Linked DNA regions of Rattus norvegicus. The protein of the gene in region 1 interacts with the protein of each later gene in a biochemical or structural test. Links are inferred from orthologs where the notes say so. Each region holds a gene or a part of one and is shown in the gene's direction. Other genes may lie near its edges.

Region 1 (5,698 bases):
CTGGGAGGCCTCGGTTTTCTCCAGTTGTTGACATGGTTGCCAGCAGGCGGCGCCGAGGGGTCGGAGAGCACAGCAGCGGCAAGCAATTTAGAGAAAGCTTGGCCAGGCGTAGTCACACCCTCTGCTCTTGGGGACTTACGCTGGCGGCGGGAACATCATAGGCCTGACCTCACCGGGAGGGTGGCTCCAGGTCACTCCCCCTGTGCAGCCTGGCCCCGGAGAGCTGGCGGAGGACTTTGTCTCTGCAAACAGGGTGGGGGCAGGGAGATGGGGCTCAGGAGCCTCCCTGTCCCAAAAAGGGCTGAGGTGGTAGCATGTGCTGACTTTCTCCCAGTGGGAAGGTCAGAGGTCTCAGAAACTTCAGGAAGAAACCAAGTTCCTGGAAGTTCAGCACAATAAAGAAAGTAACTGAGGGGGGAGGAAGGGGCCCTAGGACCTTCCCAGACTAAAACAGGAAACGTGAAGGTTTTGGGGATTTTTTTTTTTTTTTTTTGGTTCTTTTAATTTTGTTGAAGATATAACTCCAGCCCTCACGTATCAGGCAGGTGCTGGGTCACTAAAGTGCTTTTCCGTGGAGCTGCATTCCAGCCCCAGCTCTGATGTGTGTGTGGTCACATCTTCAAATTGGGCCTGCATGCCACCACTGCTCCTCCTGGCACCCCACTGGAGGAGAAGACTCAAGATGAACTGGTCAATGACCCTCTAGACCGCAACACTGAAACCCTTTTTACTGCCATCTGGAGATGGAAGCTGGCCCTTAGTAACCCATGAAAATCATCTCACCACACCCACTCCTTGTCAGTGTTTTAAGCCAAAACTAACAGGCCTGGGCCCGGCACCCTGTACCCTTGGAACCAGGTGTTCCACCTCTTCCCATCCTGCGGAGTCATGTGTTGCCATATCTGCTGCCAAGCCTTGTTAGGAGGCTTCTCCTACTGCCACCCTCTGAGCAACAGCTGGGAATGGGAACCCCTGTGCAGGCGGCACTTCAGCAAGCATCCGAGTGGTGTGTGAGCCCTTGGCCCTACCTGACAGCCCGGTAACAGCAGCCTTGCCATGTGCTAGCCTGGGCTCTGTTCTATTACCTGAGCTCAGGGGATCCTCCTGCCTCAGCTCTGCAAGTGACTAGGACTAGAGGCACATGTCCCCATAAATAGCTGTTCTTCTGGCTTGTCTCTTAAGTGTGTTGGGTGTTTTGCCGGCATGTATGTCCCTGTAGGGCTGTCAAATCTGGGTGTTGAGTTGCGAATGCTGTGATTTAAATCTGGGTCCTGTGGAAATGCAGTCAGTGCTCTTAACCTCTGAGCCATCTCTCCAGCCCCTACACTTCTTTCATGAAGAAAAGGAAAAGTGCTTGGAAAAGGCAAATGCATGTGCCGAGGGGCACACCTGCAACCCCAGCATGCCACAGCAGAGGCAAAAGGACCTTTGTGACTTTAAGGGCAGCCCGAGGATCCGATCGCAAAACAACTTGAAAGTTGTGCTCAGTAGGGGTGGGGATAGCTCCCCCTCCCAAGATTATACATCCGGCAACCGCCAGAAACAGGACAGTAGCATCAACACTTGGGTTCCCAGGGCTTGACAATGTATGGCTTCAAATCCATTGGGAGCCACCACTGAACAGCTCCTGAAGGAAAGGAGCATGTCCCCAGCCCGGGGATGGGGAGAGTTCACCCGTGGCAGAGGAATCAACAAAGAGGGGCCAGGGCTAAAACTCAGTTTTCATCCCAGAAGCTGAGCCTCTTAACAGATAGAGCCCCCCACCTATTTCCATTTAAGCCTCCAGCCCTTTTCCGTACAACGAATGCACCAGACCCCGCGGGAAAGGGGAGAAGCAGTACTCAGTGCCCCAGCACCAAGGCCTGGATTATTCAATGAGGAGTCAGCTCCTTTTTGGGGGGGGGGGGGGGTCACAAGGCATCAAAACTCCACCTCTTTCCTCTGCCCTGCTGTGAAGGGGGGGGGGGAGAGCAACCCGCCTCGTGACAGGGGGTTGGCCCAGCCCGCCCTAGCCCTGAGGAGGGGGCGGGGCAGGGGGAGTCCTATAATTGGACAGGTCTGGGATCCGGTCCCCTGCTCAGACCCCGGAGGCTAAGGAGTTGTTTCGGAAGGAGCTGGTAAGACAAGCTTGGGCTGGCGATTCACCCAGGGGGCTTGGTAAGACGTGGGCAGGGGACCTTGAAATCCGCTGGAGTCCAGGAAACAGGCACAATTATTAGAAAAGCAGGAAGCCCGATAGAAGACTTAGGGTGGCGGGGAGACAAACTAAGATCGTGAGGTAACTAGCCTTTGCCGGGGTCAGAACAGATGGAGGAGATGGAGGGGTCATCTCCAGGAGTATGGGACTGTCGGTGCACTGCATACGGGCTCAACTAGAAGGTAGTATCAATCTTTAGCGAAAGGACCCGCGATGAGCCTTAGGTTGCGTTTATATAAATACCTACTGATTTCCATCACAGTCCCCAAAATTACCCTGGGCCAGTTTCAAAGCGAAGATCCTCATGCCTGAGCGTCCGAAGTTCTGGGGTCGCGGGAGGGTACCACTTCGCAGGGATGGAGGACGATTAAAAACTTACATTAGTACTAAACCGAGAGCCCGGCTTAGCAGGGAAGGTAGAAAGGAATGTAAATTGGACCACCGGCTGTCCCTCTGCGTTGTGGAATTTGAACCCTAGGACTGGGAGCTGGAATTTTTGGCAGCGGGTCCACCCCGGGGTGCTGAGATAGAGATAGGAGGGGGAGGTAAATAGACCTTTGGGCAGATGCTCTATTGTGGAGATGTTTGTGATGACTCACAGACCTGAGAAGGGAATTAAGGTGGGGGCTCTTTGGGTGGCCCGAGTTTCTCCACCCCTACCCACTGGTGTTCAAAGACAGCTTTTCCTTCCGCAGACTGGCCAATCACAACTGGGAAGATGAAGGCTCTGTGGGCCCTGCTGTTGGTCCCATTGCTGACAGGTATGGGGCAAGGGGTGGCTTTCCCTGCTGGCAGGTTGGGGTTGGGGCAGTTCTGAGACCTCTGAGATTCAATAGCCCTGAGCAGCTGTTTTACATGCAGGCCTTGTCTTTCCCTATCCATAATATGAGAGGATTGATGCTCAGAGGGTAAAGGTGCTTGTCATAAAGCTCGAAGACTTATCTCGGAGCCCAACATGGTGGAAGGAGAGAGCGGATTCTCTCTAGTTGTCCTCTGACCTCCAAGGGTACACACACAGACACACAATTAAAAAGTTGAAGTGTGTAATTTCTTAGTCGCTTTTAAAGGGGAGGTATACATTTTCTAACCCCATACCAGCCTAGTCTCAGCTCTGTTCTACATAGGATACTAGACAGTGTATGCTTGTAGTATCTAAACAGACTCCACGACTGACTTCCAGACGCACTGTTGCTTCAAAGAGACCCAAGAGCACTGTAGGTCCTGACCCAGCCTTAAACTTACTACTCTACACAGGATGCCTGGCCGAGGGAGAGCTGGAGGTGACAGATCAGCTCCCAGGGCAAAGCGACCAACCCTGGGAGCAGGCCCTGAACCGCTTCTGGGATTACCTGCGCTGGGTGCAGACGCTTTCTGACCAGGTCCAGGAAGAGCTGCAGAGCTCCCAAGTCACACAGGAACTGACGTGAGTGCTCAGCGCTTCACCCTCCGCACCTGCTGAGTATCCAGATCCAGGGGTTCCTCCTATCTGGGCACCTACCTACTTGTTTCCTTTCTCCATGAGTGTGTGGGCCAGGTTGGCCTTGAACTCTCAATACTTCTGCTTTCTTTAGCCTTCTGGATACTGGGATGAACAGGCATTCATTTATGTTCTTGGTCGAATGGCTTTTGGCTTTTTGAGACAGGATCCCAATCTAACTTAAGCTGGCTTCGAAGGCTCTGCAATTCTCCTTCCTCAGCTTCTCAACTTCTGGGAATACAAGCGAGTACCACCGCACCTCGCTCTGTGGTTTCCTCCCACCCTAATTCTGACCTTTTTGTCTCTGCATTCATCTCCCTCTTGTGTTTCCTCTGGGCCTGCAGGGTACTGATGGAGGACACTATGACGGAAGTAAAGGCATACAAAAAGGAGCTGGAGGAACAGCTGGGCCCAGTGGCGGAGGAGACACGGGCCAGGCTGGCTAAAGAGGTGCAGGCGGCACAGGCCCGTCTGGGAGCTGACATGGAGGATCTACGCAACCGACTCGGGCAGTACCGCAACGAGGTAAACACCATGCTGGGCCAGAGCACAGAGGAGCTGCGGTCGCGCCTCTCCACACACCTGCGCAAGATGCGCAAGCGCCTGATGCGGGATGCGGATGATCTGCAGAAGCGCCTGGCGGTGTACAAGGCCGGGGCACAGGAGGGCGCCGAGCGCGGTGTGAGTGCTATCCGTGAGCGCCTGGGGCCACTGGTGGAGCAGGGTCGTCAGCGCACAGCCAACCTAGGCGCTGGCGCCGCCCAGCCCCTGCGCGATCGCGCCCAGGCTTTGAGTGACCGCATCCGAGGGCGGCTGGAGGAAGTGGGCAACCAGGCCCGAGACCGCCTAGAGGAGGTGCGTGAGCAGATGGAGGAGGTGCGCTCCAAGATGGAGGAGCAGACCCAGCAGATACGCCTGCAGGCCGAGATCTTCCAGGCCCGCATCAAGGGCTGGTTCGAGCCGCTAGTGGAAGACATGCAGCGCCAGTGGGCAAACCTAATGGAGAAGATACAGGCCTCTGTGGCTACCAACTCCATTGCCTCCACCACAGTGCCCCTGGAGAATCAATGATCATCCCTCACCTACGCCCTGCCGCAACATCCATGACCAGCCAGGTGGCCCTGTCCCAAGCACCACTCTGGCCCTCTGGTGGCCCTTGCTTAATAAAGATTCTCCAAGCACGTTCTGAGTCTCTGTGAGTGATTCCACACAGCTTCAGCCTCAGTTTATCGTTTCTGCCTGACATAGCACACATTCCATGGCCATGTCTGTAGAAGGAGGTCATGTGCTTTATTTCAAGTCTAGTTTGGTCTGCTCTGCTTTGGTTTTGCAGTAATAGAGATAAAACCTAGGAGCTAGCAACGCCAAAGGACAAGTGCTCTACCTCTGAGCCCCGCCCGCAACCCTTCACCGGGCGATTCTACCTTCCACTGAGCCACGCCCCCAGTCCTTCACTGGGGGGATTCTAGGGAGGGGCTCTACCACTGAACCACGCCTCTAGATCTCACTGGGGGGATTCTAGTAGGGGTTCTATCACCGAGCCACGCCCGCACCCATCACTTGGGGATTGTATCTAGCACTGAGCCACACCTCCAACCTCTCAATGGGGAATTCTACCATGAGCCACGCCCCCAGCCCCCTCGATGGGGGAATTCGAGTCCAGCGCCTACCACTGAGCCACGCCCACACCCTTGGGGCGGGGTGGGGGGAGGGCGATTCTAGGCAGGGGCTCTTACGTTTAGGTATATCCACGCTTTTTAGTCTGAAATAGCATCTTAACTGATTCCTCGTTGCATTCACTCCAGCCTAGTTGAATCTTTGAATCTTTGTCTTCAATCTCCGTAGGAACTGAGAAAGGTGTGTACCACTTTATGTCTGTCTGTTGGGCTATCTTTCCCAACTTAAACACCCGCTCCTCAGCTATGCCATGAATCAACATGTAAGAGACCAGAGTCGCCAGGTGGTGTTTACTTTTCTCTTTGTCTTATTCCTACTCCGCGATAGTCTTATCTGGTACACTCTCC
Region 2 (4,927 bases), on another chromosome or scaffold:
CACACACACGCAAAGTAAATATTATAAATAAATAAATAAGAATAAAACAAAAGGAGCAGGAAAGAAAAAGAAAGCAAAAGAAGCACGCCCATTCAAGACACATACATGTGAAGTCTATAAAAACACACCATTAATCGGAAACCATAAAATACAAACAAAAGACCAGTAAAGTTAAGGGGAAAAAACTGAGAAAGGTCCAAAGATAGCTTCTGAGTTAGGGTCGGGCTCTCACGTCCAGCTACCCTCACAGGGCTGGAACCCTGTCAGGCTTGGACCTATGTGTTGATCTGCGCATGCTGCCACAGTGTCTGTGAGTTCACGTGTGTCAGTCCAGCTGTATCTGGAAGGCCTTGCTTTATCCGTCTCCTCCAACCCTCTGGCTCTCGCAACTGTTCCGCCTCCTCATTCGGCAGAAGGGTTCCCGGAGCCCTGAGGCGAGAGATTTAGTCCTATTTAGTACTAAGTGTTCCACTTACCCAGCAATTAACAGTTAACAGCACAGGGACATACTTTTTCATAGCCAATAAATGCAGTGGTTGTGGGTCATCCCAACACGGCTGTGAGTCTCTGTGTGTGCTCCCATCCACTGCAGGAGGGCGCTTCTCTGCTGATGGCTGAGCAAGGCACTGATCTCTGAGTGTAGCGGAATGTCATTGGGGTGCTGTGAACAGACACCATGACTAGGGCGAGTCTCATAAGGACATTTCACTGGGGCTGGCTTACAGGTTCAGAGGTTCAGTCCATTAGCATCAAGGTGGGAACATGGCAGCATCCAGGCAGGCATGGTGCAGGAGGAGCTGAGAGTTCTACATCTTCATCCGAAGGCTGCTAGAAGTCTGACTCTCAGGCAGCTGGGAGGAAGTTATTAAAGCCACACATGCACTCCAACAAGGCCACACCTAATAGTGCCTCTCCCTGGGCTGAGCATATACAAATCCTCTCGGAGGTCATTCCGCTGCTGGGTTCCTTTAGCAGAATGTACTTGCTTCTCCCGCTAGGTCCATCCCTTTCTAATCTCAGGTTCTCGGCCATGGTGGCGTGTCAGATACAGGTTCCCTCTCATGAGGATCTGATAGCTGTTTACTTGGTACAACTTTTGTGCCTCGACTGTACCAGCATATCAGGGGCTCAGGTGACCCGTACTTTAATCTCAACACTCAGGAGGCAGCGGCAGGCAGATTCCTGTGAGACCAAAACCATCCTGTTCTATATAAAGTTCAAGGCCAGCCAAAACTACACGGTGGAAACCCGTCTCAAAATAAGTTTTAAAAATAACCAATTAAGCCCGATACGTTTTCATACTTTATTCAACAGCCCAGAAGTCGGTCCTAACACCTGATGGATTTCCTCTTTGTGTTTATTTGTTGATCCTCAGCTGCCCTCTCGGGTACATTGGCTACCTCTGCTGCCTTCCCCGGTTAGCTGATGTGGCCATCTTTGCTGTGCTGATGACCACACCCTTCCTTCCCTTTCGCTCTTGCAGCAGAAGATTCATGTGGCAAGAACGAGTTCCAGTGTAGAGACGGAAAATGCATCGTCAGCAAGTGGGTGTGTGACGGCAGCCGCGAGTGCCCGGATGGCTCCGATGAGTCCCCTGAGACATGCAGTAAGTCGCCTCTGATTGTGGGTGTTTGTAGAGACAGAACCCATGGCCCTTCCCGTTCTAGTCAGGGGCTTTTTCCCCCAGCGCTCTCCTAGTTTATATCGTGCCAGAGCAGTCCAGCAACCCTAAGTTCAATCCTCAATTTGAAGAAGGCTCAGAGTGACCATCCCTAATCCAAATATTCAAAATCCAAAGCATTTTGTATGCTGTGATGATGGATTTGGAAAGTTTCACACCTAGCCTCATGCTATGCCTTGCAGCAGGCACAACAGTCCATTAACAGTGCTGTGTGGAATTGCTTTTAGGGGCTGTTAAGATGAGAGCAGGCACTTGGGGTCAGCCTTCATGATATGAGTTTGATCCCTGGAATTCATATGGTAGAAGGAAAGAATGTCCTGTATGTCCTGTGACCGCCACACACACACACACACACACGCACACACACACACACACGCAAGAGATGGACCTGGCCTAACTAAATTGTGTTCCTTTTGAGTGATGGCTCCTCTTTATCCCTAGTGTCTGTCACCTGTCGATCCGGTGAGTTCAGCTGTGGAGGCCGCGTCAGCCGATGCATTCCTGACTCCTGGAGATGTGATGGGCGGACCGACTGTGAAAATGGCTCGGATGAACTAGACTGCTGTAAGTGACGCTCAGACCACCCTGGATGTGGCGTGTGTGTGCGCGCGCGCGTGCGCGCGCGCATGTGTGTGTGTGTGTGTGTGTGTGTGTGCATGCATGCTGGCCCATCTTGCACTAAAGAGTCCCCTAGGGGCCCTGGGATGTAACAGTCGTTCCCGAGTGGACTCCACCTGAGTTCTGGTGTGTGCTTGCTCCTATGGCTTAAATCCCACCTTGAGAGATGATGCCTCCTCCGTGGACATCAGAAGCATTTATGGAGGGGGAAGCTCTGATGACTGTCGCCAGGGAGCCCACTTGTAGGCTGCCTCCCTGCCTTAAGTGCCCACATTGGCGGGAAGGCTGAGCTGTGTTCGGAGTCCAATCAGAGCTGACGTACTAGCCGCCAATGTGTTTATCAGCTGTGCGTCATGATGTCATACCTCTTATGTGCCGATCCACAGGGCAGACTTGGGACGTGAGAGTGCCAAACCCTGAATGTTATCTCCATGTAATGTGGGTTTCCCCATACCTACATACCCTCAATAGTGGAATTTATATATTTAGCAAGGTAAGCAGTTCACAGCACAACCTAAAGTGCTAAGATGTGGATCAACCCCTGCCTAGAATCTCCACCCCAAAGAGGGGCTCGTTGGTACAGGAGTGGCTTGATACTTTACCGTGTGAGGGAAACTGAGGCAGAGACAGGTGTGTTGTAGCTTTCTGGGCCTTTGCCTACTACCACCATGTTTTTTTGAGGCACAGGGTCCTGTCTGTGAGTAGGCTGGTGTGTGGTGGTATGAGCCATAGCATGACAGGGCGCTCTCCTCTCTGTGCACCCCCACAGCCCCCAAGACGTGCTCCCTGGATGAGTTCCGCTGCCAGGATGGCAAGTGCATCTCCCGGCAGTTTGTGTGTGACCAAGACTGGGATTGCCTGGATGGCTCTGACGAGGCCCACTGTGCGGCCACCACTTGTGGCCCTGCTCACTTCCGCTGCAACTCCTCTTCCTGCATCCCCAGCCTGTGGGCCTGCGACGGGGACCGGGACTGTGACGATGGCTCCGATGAGTGGCCGCAGAACTGCGGGGGCCGAGACACGGCCGCTGAGGTGGTCAGCAGCCCCTGCTCCTCCCTCGAGTTCCACTGTGGCAGTAGTGAGTGTATCCATCGCAGCTGGGTCTGTGACGGTGCGGCTGACTGCAAGGACAAGTCGGACGAGGAGAACTGCGGTAAGGCCCTGGGGAGGAGGGATGGATGATGGCTCTCCAGGCCCTGTATGCGGGGCTTTGGGGCTTAGAAATAGCCAGACTGCCCAGAGAGGAAGTTTTGTTTTGGGTAAGGGGCTGTTTGGGTGGGTAGAACACCTGTCTCCAGAGCATGAAGTCCTGAGTTCAAATCTCCTGCAGACAGCCATGCTCGAGCCTGTGATTCCAGTGCTTGTGGGATGTGGAGACCGGAGCTGGCTACCAGCCTGGCTCCCAGTTCATTGAGAGACCCAGACTCGGGGAGGAGGAGGAGAAGGAGCCAGAATTACAGGAGCACATACCCGCATGTGCACACATACTGTGCAATAAATTTTTAAAAATTAACCAAAGATAAAGGCTGGGTCTGGTGGCACACACCTTTAGGAGCAGGTTGATCTCTGTGAGTTGAAGGCCAGCCTAGTCTACATACTGAATTCCAGGAAAGCCAGGGCCTTGTAGAGAGAACCTGTCTCCAAAAACCAAAGGAAATGATTTTGTTTTAAAAAACCAACCAAAGATAAGTTTAAAAAAAATATATTTTTTTCTTTCTTTGGAACAATGAATTTTAAGAGGGCCAAATCTGTGGCTCACTTAGTAAGTGTCTTAGTTTTCTGTGGCTACGGGCAGTGACCAAGGCAACTTAGAGGAGAGAGAATTTGGTGAGGTTTACAGTTTCAAGGGTGAGTTCATGACCGCCATGGTGGGAGCGTGGCAGCAGGCAGGCGGGCATGGTGTCATAGCTGTAGTTGAGAGCTTACATCTGATCCACAAGCGTGAGGCGGAGACAGTGCTAACTGGGAAGGGTGAGAATCCTTTGAAATCTCACAGCCTGTTCCCAGGGACACGCCTCCTCCAATGAGGCCACACCTGCTAATCCTTCCCAAACAGTTCTACCAACTGGGGGCCAAGGATTTTTAAACTTAGGACCCAATCAGGACTGTTCTCCTTCAAACCACCATGCCACACATTCATGAGTCCCAGGTTTCAATCCCCTGGATGATTTATTTAAAGACAAAATTATTAGTGTACATGATACATGTGTGTGGCAACACATACAGAGGTCATAGGGCAACTGTGAGTCCTCACCATCCACTGTGAAGACTCCAGAGATTGGCTCAGCCTTTGGGTTTGCTGGTAATTGCTTTTGCTTGCCAGCCCTATAGCTGCAGTTAAGCAGAGCAGCTTATCCGTGCTTCTTGTGATGGTCACCCTGTCCTCCACAGCGGTGACCACCTGCCGACCTGACGAATTCCAGTGTGCAGATGGCTCCTGTATTCACGGTAGCCGCCAGTGTGACCGTGAACATGACTGCAAAGACATGAGCGACGAGCTTGGCTGCATCAATGGTAAACTTGGTTCCTCGCCGGCTCCTCTTCCTCTTCTCCCTTCTCAGTGCCTTGCTGTAAAGTTGGGGTACTGTTGGTCTTGGGTGAGGGAGTGGGGGTCAGGCCCCTAGGAAG
Region 3 (4,598 bases), on another chromosome or scaffold:
AAATAAAATGATCTCTCTGCTGTCTTTTCTCACTAAAGCTAGTTGATGCTAAGAAGTGGTGTGGATAACATGCCCATAGTCACAAAAGTTTGATAACTTACATGCTGCATTTGTAATGTGCATCTTGTGATCAAGTCCTGGTGTTGAAATACCACACAACACACACACACACACACACACACACACACTTCTTCCATGTATAATACTGTTAGAGTAATATATTAGGAACAGTTTGAATTTTGTTGAAAGTATGAGGAAATTGGATTCTCTGGGTTTGTAAACAGATGTTGGTGATATCAGTACATCAGGATAAGATTGTCTATAAGCTGCCCTGCCCAGCTGCCAAAACATGATTTTTAGAGTCTGATCTTGCCTTAGTATCAACTGTTGTTTCTTTCCTCTGTCAACCTGTCCTTCATGTCTATGATAAAAGCAGAAGGAGATAGCATTTAAACAGAACATATTGTCCACAGAAGCTAAGCATCCTTTGATCTCTTCAAATTAGCCCATTTAGGCTCCAGTTACATCTCTGTTCTTTGAATATTTGCTGAACTCTATCATTCAGTAATTACTTTGGTGGAACAAACGGGAAAGAACAAAAAGGCCTTTGATGGAGAAAACAAAGAAGGCACATCATGTCAGACTGAATGCTATGATGTCAGCACTGTGGAGAGATAATCTGAAATTTTGTCCAATCTAATCTTTGGCTTCTTTTTTAACTTCAAGTATGTATAATTTCCAGATTTCCAAAGAGAACTATTTCTTTGGGAGCATTTATAAATGAATTTATTGGAGCCAGAAATATAGCTTAGTCATTAAGAGCATATGTTTTTCTTCCAGGGGACCCAAGTTTATGTTCTAGCATCTGTATGGAGAATCACAATTGTCTACAGCTCAAGCTTCTGGGAATGTGATGCTTTCTTCTGCCCTCTGTTTTCACCACACATGCATAGTGCACAGACCTACACACAGGGCAAATATCCCTACACATAAAATAAAATAAAACAATGAATTACAAAACACATGGACTTTGCCTTAACAAATTTAGGGAAAACCATAATGATGTGTCTGTATATTAGTTCCACTTTCTTGGAACATTTTTACTTTCGGATTCAAGTGTTGTGTGGATTCTGTCCACAAACAATGTCCTGTTAAACATTACACCAAAATTAAGTCGTCCCTATTAGAGAATTATCATGATTTCAGAAAAAAATAGAATATTTTGCCATTATTTGATTCATCATTACCAGTTCACTACAAATCATTGCTACTATAACATTGTGCTCATGGAGAGAACTTAGGGTCTTTTGCTTTGCAACTTCCTGGGTAATGAGTTACTTGGGCAAAAGCTTTGAAAGCTTCAGATTGGTAACCCATGTTTGCATGATGTTTTTCTCTGGTGGTTTGGTACAGTTTGGCTCGGTAATTCTGAAGAATGCACTTCTGAGAACACTTCTTGTAGCGCCTTGAAGGTATACCTGACATAATTTTTTTTCAAGTTATGCTTCAGTAGTGAAAACACTATCTTACTGTGCTTTCACTTCCCTGTCTGTAGGGTGAAGAAGGGTACCCACAAGAGGGAATCCTGGAAGACATGCCTGTGGACCCTAGCAGTGAGGCTTATGAAATGCCTTCAGAGGTAAATGCTTACAAACAGAAAACCAAGAAAAATACCCTTAGGTATTTTCTTAGGTACCTTCAGAGGTAAATGCCTATGTGCAACACTCAGCCACTATCACATCTCCCTCATATTATGGTTTGGGTAGTTCAATCATAAAAAGGGTTTTGAGAAAATGATTTTAATCTTTGTGGAAGAGAGTAAGGGATATGGCAGGTCAAAGGAAGAACATTTTAGAACATTCTAGCACAAGAGGTTACCAGAAACAAAGGCATATGAAAATGCCTGAGCAACAATGGGCAGTTATGAATCATGTTTAGAAAACATAAAATATGATAGATTAAGGCTGAAGACATAATTAAGGTTATAGACAAACTGTAGAGTCCCAAATTAACTTTGTCATTTAAGTTTATATTGACATTTGAAAAAGAGTTTGATAATAGGTTTAGTTTAACAGTAGAATCCTGATATAATCAATTAATTGAGGAAGTACCATTCCTGTTATGAATGTTACCTAGATTTTGTCCAGGAGGCTCAGGCTTTAGAATAAATGAGCCTGTGTGGAAACCTCTCATGAAGGTGGGGTTTCCTAATGGGGGAGAAAGGAGAAGGATGAGCTCTGGAGGAGGCTTTATGCAGCTCACCTAGGTGTTCACGGCTCACAACGCAGAGCAAAGGAGAAAATCAGAGCCCCAGCCAATTCATACTGCAGCACGAAATCACAGATCAAAGGATATATCTAGAATTAGGCCTAATAATCTGTGATGACCCCTATAACGTACAGATGCTACGTATGGAAAAACCAATACATGTTCATGACAGATAAGCCCCAAACACTGAGCTGAGGATCAATTTTATCTGATTGAAAGGCTGAGCCCTCCCTCCTGTGAAGCAGACAGTTGATAACTGTCACTTCACTGACAAGGCATGCTCTTATTTTTTTCCTGATATTAGGAAGGCTACCAAGACTATGAGCCTGAAGCCTAAGAATGTCGTTGTACCCACTGTCCTAAGATCTGCCCAGGTGTTCTTCCATGGCGTACAAGTGCTCAGTTCCAACGTGCCCAGTCATGACCTTTTCTCAAAGCTGTACAGTGTATTTCAAAGTCTTCCATCAGCAGTGATCGGAGTCCTGTACCTGCCCCTCAGCATCCCGGTGCTCCCCTCTCACTACAGTGAATACATGGTAGCAGGCTCTTGTGTGCTGTGGATATTGTTGTGGCTTCAAACCTAAAATGTTAGAAGAAACTTAAAACACCTAAGTGACTACCACTTATTTCTAACTCTTCACCGTTTTTTGTTGCTGTTCTCAAGAAGTTGTGATTTGCTATAAGACTTTTAGATGTCCTTAATGATTCTTTCTGTCTAAGAAGAATGATGTGCTGTGAAATTTGTTAATATATATTTTAAAATATGTGAGCATGAGACTATGCACCTATAAATATTAATTTATGAATTTTACAGTTTTGTGACGTGTTTTATTAACTTGTGTTTGTATATAAATGGTGGAAATTAAAATAAAATAAAACATTATCTCATTGCAAAACCTTTTTCCTGTTTCACTTTAGTAACAAAATCATGCGTATCAGGAGCATGAACATGAAATAACAGCTGACAAAATGAACTAGAATGTAAAGTCTTAACACTATCTTGAAGAATTGGGAAGTGTTAGAGATGGAACTCTCTCCTGCAGGAGGAATTCTCCAGTGCCATTGCCCACAGCCAGCTTGATATACAGTCCTGCTCAGAGCTGTGGGAGCACTGAGAAACACTTCATTGGAACTGAAAGGTGTGAGGGATAGCGACTACAGCCCTTTTACATATTCATAAGACATATTAGCATATCCAAGGCAGGCTGTGGAAGAACCTGCTTAATTTATTGCATGTACACATGTGTGTGTGTGTGTGTGTGTGTGTGTGTGTGTGTGTGTGTGTGTGTGTGTGTAAGGAAGAACTCAGGAAGTACCTTTCCCATTCCCCATCCCTCCTCCACCTGTTTCTATGAATGTGCTCCCATTCACACCCACCCACTCACACCTCAACACCCTGGCATTCTCCTACACTGGGAAAAAGAGCCTTCACAATACCAAAAGCTTCTCCTCCTGTTAATGCCAGAGGAGGCCATCTTTTGCTACACATGCGACTGGAGCCAACGGTCTCTCCATGTGTACCCATTGGTGCTTTAGTCCCAGGGAGCTTTGGGGAGGAGGTAATCAACCAGCCAGTTCTTCTCTTAAGCAGTGTCTGACTGTTGATATAGAAGCAGTTAATTGGTTTTTGTTGCTTTGCTTTGTTTTATCCTAAGCATTGATTTTTCACTCAACACCTAAAAGTGGTTTCTCAGTGCACACGTGCCCTGATAAGGGTCCTGCCCCTGACTAGTGCAGTCTGAGGATGCCTCTTAACTAAAGCTCTAGCTTTTCAGCTTGAAATCCCAAGTCAGAGCTGTTTGATCTGTAATGAGTCCACCAACGACTTTAAAGAAAGCCTTCCACAGCAGGCTTGGACACACGGCTGGCCGCACAACACAATCAAGTGGACACGTTGGACTTTTAACTCGTGTCTCTTTCAAAAGTCTCTCTCCTAGATTGTAAGATGCAAGTAACTTGTGTAACTATTTGTGATGTATTGAAATATATAAATTCAGTGTCATACAACTAGTACACTACTAATAATCTATTCAGAGACAGGAGGATCATGGGTTTGAGACACTGTCTCAGGAAACATATACTGGTAGTTTCTGTCTACAATTTCTGGCAGAATACCTTAAAAGCATTGAGATTTTTGTGAGCCATATGGTTGCTAAGTGTATTTCTTAGTCTAATAGCTAATCTGCCCATCTGTCTGTCTGTCTGTCTGTCTGTCTGTCTGTCTGTCTGCCTGCCTGTCTATCATCAATGGTTTGGGCATAGTTTCCAATGCTGAAAAATTTCCTGACTCTTGTTCTGGTGAAATACATACAATTTGGCTTCTGAAGCTG
Region 4 (4,927 bases), on another chromosome or scaffold:
TGGAGAATGAGGCCATTTTCAGCGCAAATCGGCTCAATGGCCTGGAGATCTCCATCCTGGCTGAGAACCTTAATAACCCACATGACATTGTAATCTTCCATGAGCTGAAGCAGCCAAAGGGTAAGTAAGCCTTCCCTGGTCCCCGCCTGCCTGTGCCCTCTCCTGACACCTGACAGGCTATGTCTTCCCATTTGTGTCTTGACCCAGCATCCCCAAGAATACAATAATCCCTCTTGTTGTAGAGTGTGTTGTCATATCTGGTTTCACTCTGCTTCAGCCTCTGTGTGACACAAGGCTAGGAACAAACACATAGGCGTCCTAGTTTTGCCGATAACAGGTGCTTTTTGTATGTCTCATTCAACAATTGAGGAAACTGAAGTTGGAGAGAAAAAACAATGTTAGCAGGTAGAACAAAAATCTAAACCGGAGGCCACCTGATTGCCAAGTTCCTTCTGTCGCGACACATCAGTGTGCACTTACTTCTAGCACCCATTTTGCAGTACTGCAAACTCCTGTGTCTCCAGGCCTTACAGTTAGCCAGGTGGCTTACTGGGAACGGTCTAATAGTCGTACCACAGGGCTGTGTCATCCGCTGCCATGACCAGCTGTAACCAGTAATGGCTGCCAGGGTAAGGGAGACAGCAAAGAGAGGGGCAAGACGATGAGGTCTGCACCTGATTCTAGTTCTAGAGACTTAAAGCAGAAAGAGACGGCAGGTGCCCAGAGGAGGAACAAACGAGACAGACACAGTCGGGGAGAGGTAGACTTAAAATTCCTAGAGTTGTAACGTGTCCGTGTGTTCTCTGAGGGTAGGCTTCTCTGTCACCTGGAACCGTAACCCACCTCTCAGAACTGTAAGAATGAATGAGGGTAACGATAAAGTCCCAGCTACTATGCTGGTGGGGAAAGATTTCTGTGCAAGTCCAGTTGGTGGGAACTCACTATTGGTAGACAAGAGGACCTGGCATGGCCTGTCAATCTCCCAACATGCTCTCTGTCTGCTCCTCCCCCTGCCATTAGCTGCAGATGCCTGTGAGCTGAGTGCCCAGCCCAATGGCGGCTGTGAATACCTGTGCCTTCCTGCTCCTCAGATCTCCAGCCACTCTCCCAAGTACACCTGTGCCTGTCCTGACACAATGTGGCTGGGCCCAGACATGAAGAGATGCTACCGAGGTTAGTGACAAACATTGCCCTGGACTCGTAGGGACTCAGTATGCTCCAGCTTTTCCTCCAACTTCCCCGGTTGCCTCTCACATCTGCACCTTCGTCTTATCTAAACGTCCTTGACAGAGTGAGTTCATGGCACCCTCCAAGGCTTTCCCATCTCCAAGAAAAGTGCAATGCGCATAAAATGCTTTAAATTCGACTTTCAGGAAGTTTCTAGAATCCCTTGAAAACCAAGTTAATGGGGCCTGGAGTAGGCTCCGTGGCTGAGAGCACTTGCTGCTCTTGCAGAGGACTCTGGCTCAGTTCCTAGCACCTATATGATGGCTTTCAACCATTCCTAACTCCAACTCCAGAAGTTCCAACCCTGATTCCTTCTACTGACTTCTGAGGATACCAGGCGAGCTCGTGGTGCCCAGGCAAAGCACCCGTAGATACAAAATAAAAACAGATCAAAAAGTAAAAATTAAAATGAAGAAAACTTCGAGTAAAGAGCCCTTGGTCCTTGCTGACCATTTGTAGCAGATGCCTGTTCTTAGCTAGACCTGGCACACTGCGTAGATGCCCTTGAGTGCAGTTGTGACTAATGGTGGACTAGCACTTCATCCTCACAACTGGGCTTTGTTTCTCAGTCCCCATGTGTAGCCAAACCTTGGGTTTGAGCATCAGGCCTGTTACATCATTTACAATGTCCAGATTCAACTGTTTAACGTGAAGAATTTAAACCTGACGATGTAACTACAGACGAGGATGAAATGCTTCTCAATTTGTATTTCTGCTCCCTCTGGTCTTTTACAGAGGCCTCCTCCACACTTGTCTCCACAGCTCTGTCCCACGGACCCGTCTTTATCAGATCAAAGTGAAGTGCTAGGACTCAGCTTCAGAGAAGATCACGGCCCATTCGGGGATGGGGGAAAGTTTCACAATAGTGGCATCTGAGCTAAGCCCAGAGGCTGAGCCCCTACTGGAACTCAGCAACCATAACTGGGCACCAAAGCAACAAACTGCTGTCTTTCCCCTCTAGCACCTCCGTCTACCTCAACTACAACCTTAGCCTCTGCTATGACAAGGACAGTACCTGCTACTACGGGAGCCCCTGGGACAACCATCCACGACTCTACCTACCAGAACCACAGCACAGAGATGCCAAGCCAGACAGCTGCCGTCCCTCACTCAGTGAACATCCCTAAGGCTCACAGCACCAGCCCGTCCACCCTGAGCCCTGCAACCAGCAACCACTCCCAGCACTGTAAGGAAGTCAGCTCTGCATTTCGTATAACTTGGGGGAAGCCAAGATGAGGGTCGGGAGTGGCTAGGAAGGAAGATCTTGTAATGTCCACCTCTTAGGAGGAAGCAAGGGAGAGAAGGTCCTGTCCTGGGATTGAGGAAGCTTGGGTGTCCATAAGTTTAAAAGGACCTGGAGGCAAACCATTCGTTCATCTCTAAACGTCAGTCTCCCCCTAAAAGGAACCAATAATAAGCTACACTCGACTTGCTTCTCAAGATGGTCAGGAGAGGCAAAGGCTCCTGGCAGTGGTGGTCAGCAAACAGGAGACAGGACAGGCAGATCTCTAAGTTTTAGGCCAGCCTGATCTACATAGAGAGTTCCAGGCCTGCCAAGGCAATATGGTAAGACCCTGCCTCAAAGAGGGAACTAGGCAAAAGAGGCATTGTGAATGGAAGTGCCCAGCTGCCTGGGTATGTGTCAGTGTTCCATGTGTTCCTGAGGTGGGTGTCGTCGAGTTTGGAAAGCTCTATCCGAGCTCCCGGCAGCCTTGGTAAGCTGCCCAGGCAGTAATGTCTGTAAAGTATGATCTGCTTGTGCCTGTTTCCAAATCTTGGATAGAATAACTAAGCTTAGTACTTCTTTAATCCTTGGGAGCAGTAATTGTCCTGTTGGAACAGCTGTATCTCATTAACCAGAAAATACCTTTATAATTGCCGGGGGGCTTCATTTTAAATGATAAACCATCTCTCATTTTTTCCCCATACACGGCTGGCCCAGAAACCAAGCAACCTGGTGACATTGTTCAGATCAGGGCTGTTTAGCCAGCAGAGGCTAGGTTCTAAGAATAGACGTTTGAGGCAGCCTGGTGTTTGCAGAGGTGGAATTCCATTTCCTCTCATGGGGGCAGAGGTCTGAGTGTTCTCTCAGGTCTTGGGACGTTTCCTAGCACATCAGAGCAAGGGGACAGCAGTGCTTCCAATTAGCTTGTTTTCTTCCTTCTTTGTATGCGTGCATGCCTGTGCGTGTGTGCGTGCGGGCGTGTGTGTGTGTATGTGTGTGTGTGTGTGTTTGTGTGTGTGTGTGTACATGTTCATCTTTGTGCACGTGTGTGTACTGAAGGTGTATAATATGTATGTGTGCTTGTTGAAGCTGGAGATCAACCTTGGGAGTGTTCTCAATAGTTCTGCAATATAATTCTTGAGACAGTCTCTCACAGAACCTGGAGCTCACTGGTTCAGCTAAAGTGGCTGGCCAGCAAGCTTCAGGTCTCCTCCTGTCTCCTTCCTCAGCCAGGGCTATGGGCACATGCTGCCATGCTTGGCTTTACATGAATTGGGAGCAGAACTCAGATCCCCATCCCTAAATGGCAAGCACTTAACAAGTGAGCCATCTCTCCAGCGCCCTCCAATTAGCTAACTTGGTGAACAGGGCAGCTCCCTGATTAGCCAGAGTTTCTTGAAGTAACATGGAGAAATAGATTGGGGGGCATTGCCAGTGGCTAGCCATTCCTCTCACACCTCAGAGGGCTCTCATGGGATCCCAGGGCATAGAGCTGTACAGGTGTCTCAGGTGTCTTAGAGCTAGGGAAGGATATTTATTTAAAACAATACATTTATAATTACTCTTCATTTAAGAATGGGCTTTTATGTGCCTTTAACAGCAACAAGGATCCTTTAGAGATGGGGTCTCGCTATGTAGCCCAGGCTAGTCTAAACTTGAGGTCTTCTATCCTTACCATCCCGAGTGGGGTGTGATATGCATTCACCATCATGCCTGGCTAACAAACCTTTTTAAATTTAACCCTCATCATAACTACTACCACCTCACTACCATCTTGAATTAGGCAATGCCAGCCAGATATTGTGCTAAGTATCTGATATGATCCCATTTAATCCTTAAATGGACCCCTAAGAGGTAGAAAATATTTTAAGATAAATATAATATACATATAATATACATTATACGTTTAATATTACATTAACTTCCACAGGGTCACACGGGTAATGTGTAATAGAGATAGAATTTGAACCGAGGAAGCCTGACCCAGAAGCCTATGCTCCCAATTACACTCTACTACATTCCAGTATATCAGGTTTTAATCTCTTAGGAAAACAAGCTGGTAGTGCATAGAACAGGCAGACCACCAAAACAGTGGAGACAGTGCATTGGATTTTAGTGGAAAAAGACAGCCAGCCCCATCGGCAGCAAGGAGACCTAAGCTCTCACCTGCCGCGTAGCCCCCAGCTTCCTATTGGACTTGGGTCATGAGTCCTGTGTTCAAATCCCAAGTCTGCATTTATCAAAGTTTAGTTTCCCGGATGTGAAATAACCTCAGTCCTATTTGCCCCTGGAGTTTTGGGGATGTTTAGTGAGACTGAATTATTACACAGTAACTGGGAGCATCACCTTAGAGCAAGGACAAGAAGAGGTTGGGCGGGTGGTCCTTACAGCTCAAGGGCAGGCCGCGCTTGGATTCGCAGTGATGGGGCATCATTCTGTACATGGTGTTTTACAGATGGGAATGAAGGCAGCCAG

Evidence for each region.
Region 2: the proteins of Apoe (region 1) and Ldlr interact in a biophysical measurement, tested with the Homo sapiens proteins (2 studies listed by IntAct). The link is inferred for Rattus norvegicus from reciprocal best matches to the Homo sapiens genes APOE and LDLR.
Region 3: the proteins of Apoe (region 1) and Snca form a complex in vitro, tested with the Homo sapiens proteins (2 studies listed by BioGRID and IntAct). The link is inferred for Rattus norvegicus from reciprocal best matches to the Homo sapiens genes APOE and SNCA.
Region 4: the proteins of Apoe (region 1) and Lrp8 form a complex in vitro, tested with the Homo sapiens proteins (2 studies listed by BioGRID). The link is inferred for Rattus norvegicus from reciprocal best matches to the Homo sapiens genes APOE and LRP8.

Annotation. Positions count from the first base shown.
Region 1 is NC_086019.1:88,481,046-88,486,743, reverse strand, and holds Apoe (apolipoprotein E precursor), read left to right. Parts: upstream 1-2,044; 5' UTR 2,045-2,117; exon of another isoform or gene 2,118-2,157; intron 2,158-2,223; exon of another isoform or gene 2,224-2,278; intron 2,279-2,873; exon of another isoform or gene 2,874-2,892; 5' UTR 2,893-2,915; coding exon 2,916-2,958; intron 2,959-3,451; coding exon 3,452-3,620; intron 3,621-4,018; coding exon 4,019-4,745; 3' UTR 4,746-4,855; downstream 4,856-5,698. UniProt on the Homo sapiens protein: APOE is an apolipoprotein, a protein associating with lipid particles, that mainly functions in lipoprotein-mediated lipid transport between organs via the plasma and interstitial fluids.
Region 2 is NC_086026.1:28,552,281-28,557,207, forward strand, and holds part of Ldlr (low-density lipoprotein receptor precursor), read left to right. Parts: intron 1-1,483; coding exon 1,484-1,606; intron 1,607-2,122; coding exon 2,123-2,245; intron 2,246-3,068; coding exon 3,069-3,452; intron 3,453-4,690; coding exon 4,691-4,813; intron 4,814-4,927.
Region 3 is NC_086022.1:91,025,044-91,029,641, reverse strand, and holds the end of Snca (alpha-synuclein), read left to right. Parts: intron 1-1,555; coding exon 1,556-1,639; intron 1,640-2,572; coding exon 2,573-2,605; 3' UTR 2,606-3,168; downstream 3,169-4,598. UniProt on the Homo sapiens protein: Neuronal protein that plays several roles in synaptic activity such as regulation of synaptic vesicle trafficking and subsequent neurotransmitter release.
Region 4 is NC_086023.1:127,847,032-127,851,958, forward strand, and holds part of Lrp8 (low-density lipoprotein receptor-related protein 8 precursor), read left to right. Parts: coding exon 1-120; intron 121-1,020; coding exon 1,021-1,173; intron 1,174-2,188; coding exon 2,189-2,413; intron 2,414-4,907; coding exon 4,908-4,927. UniProt on the Homo sapiens protein: Cell surface receptor for Reelin (RELN) and apolipoprotein E (apoE)-containing ligands. LRP8 participates in transmitting the extracellular Reelin signal to intracellular signaling processes, by binding to DAB1 on its cytoplasmic tail.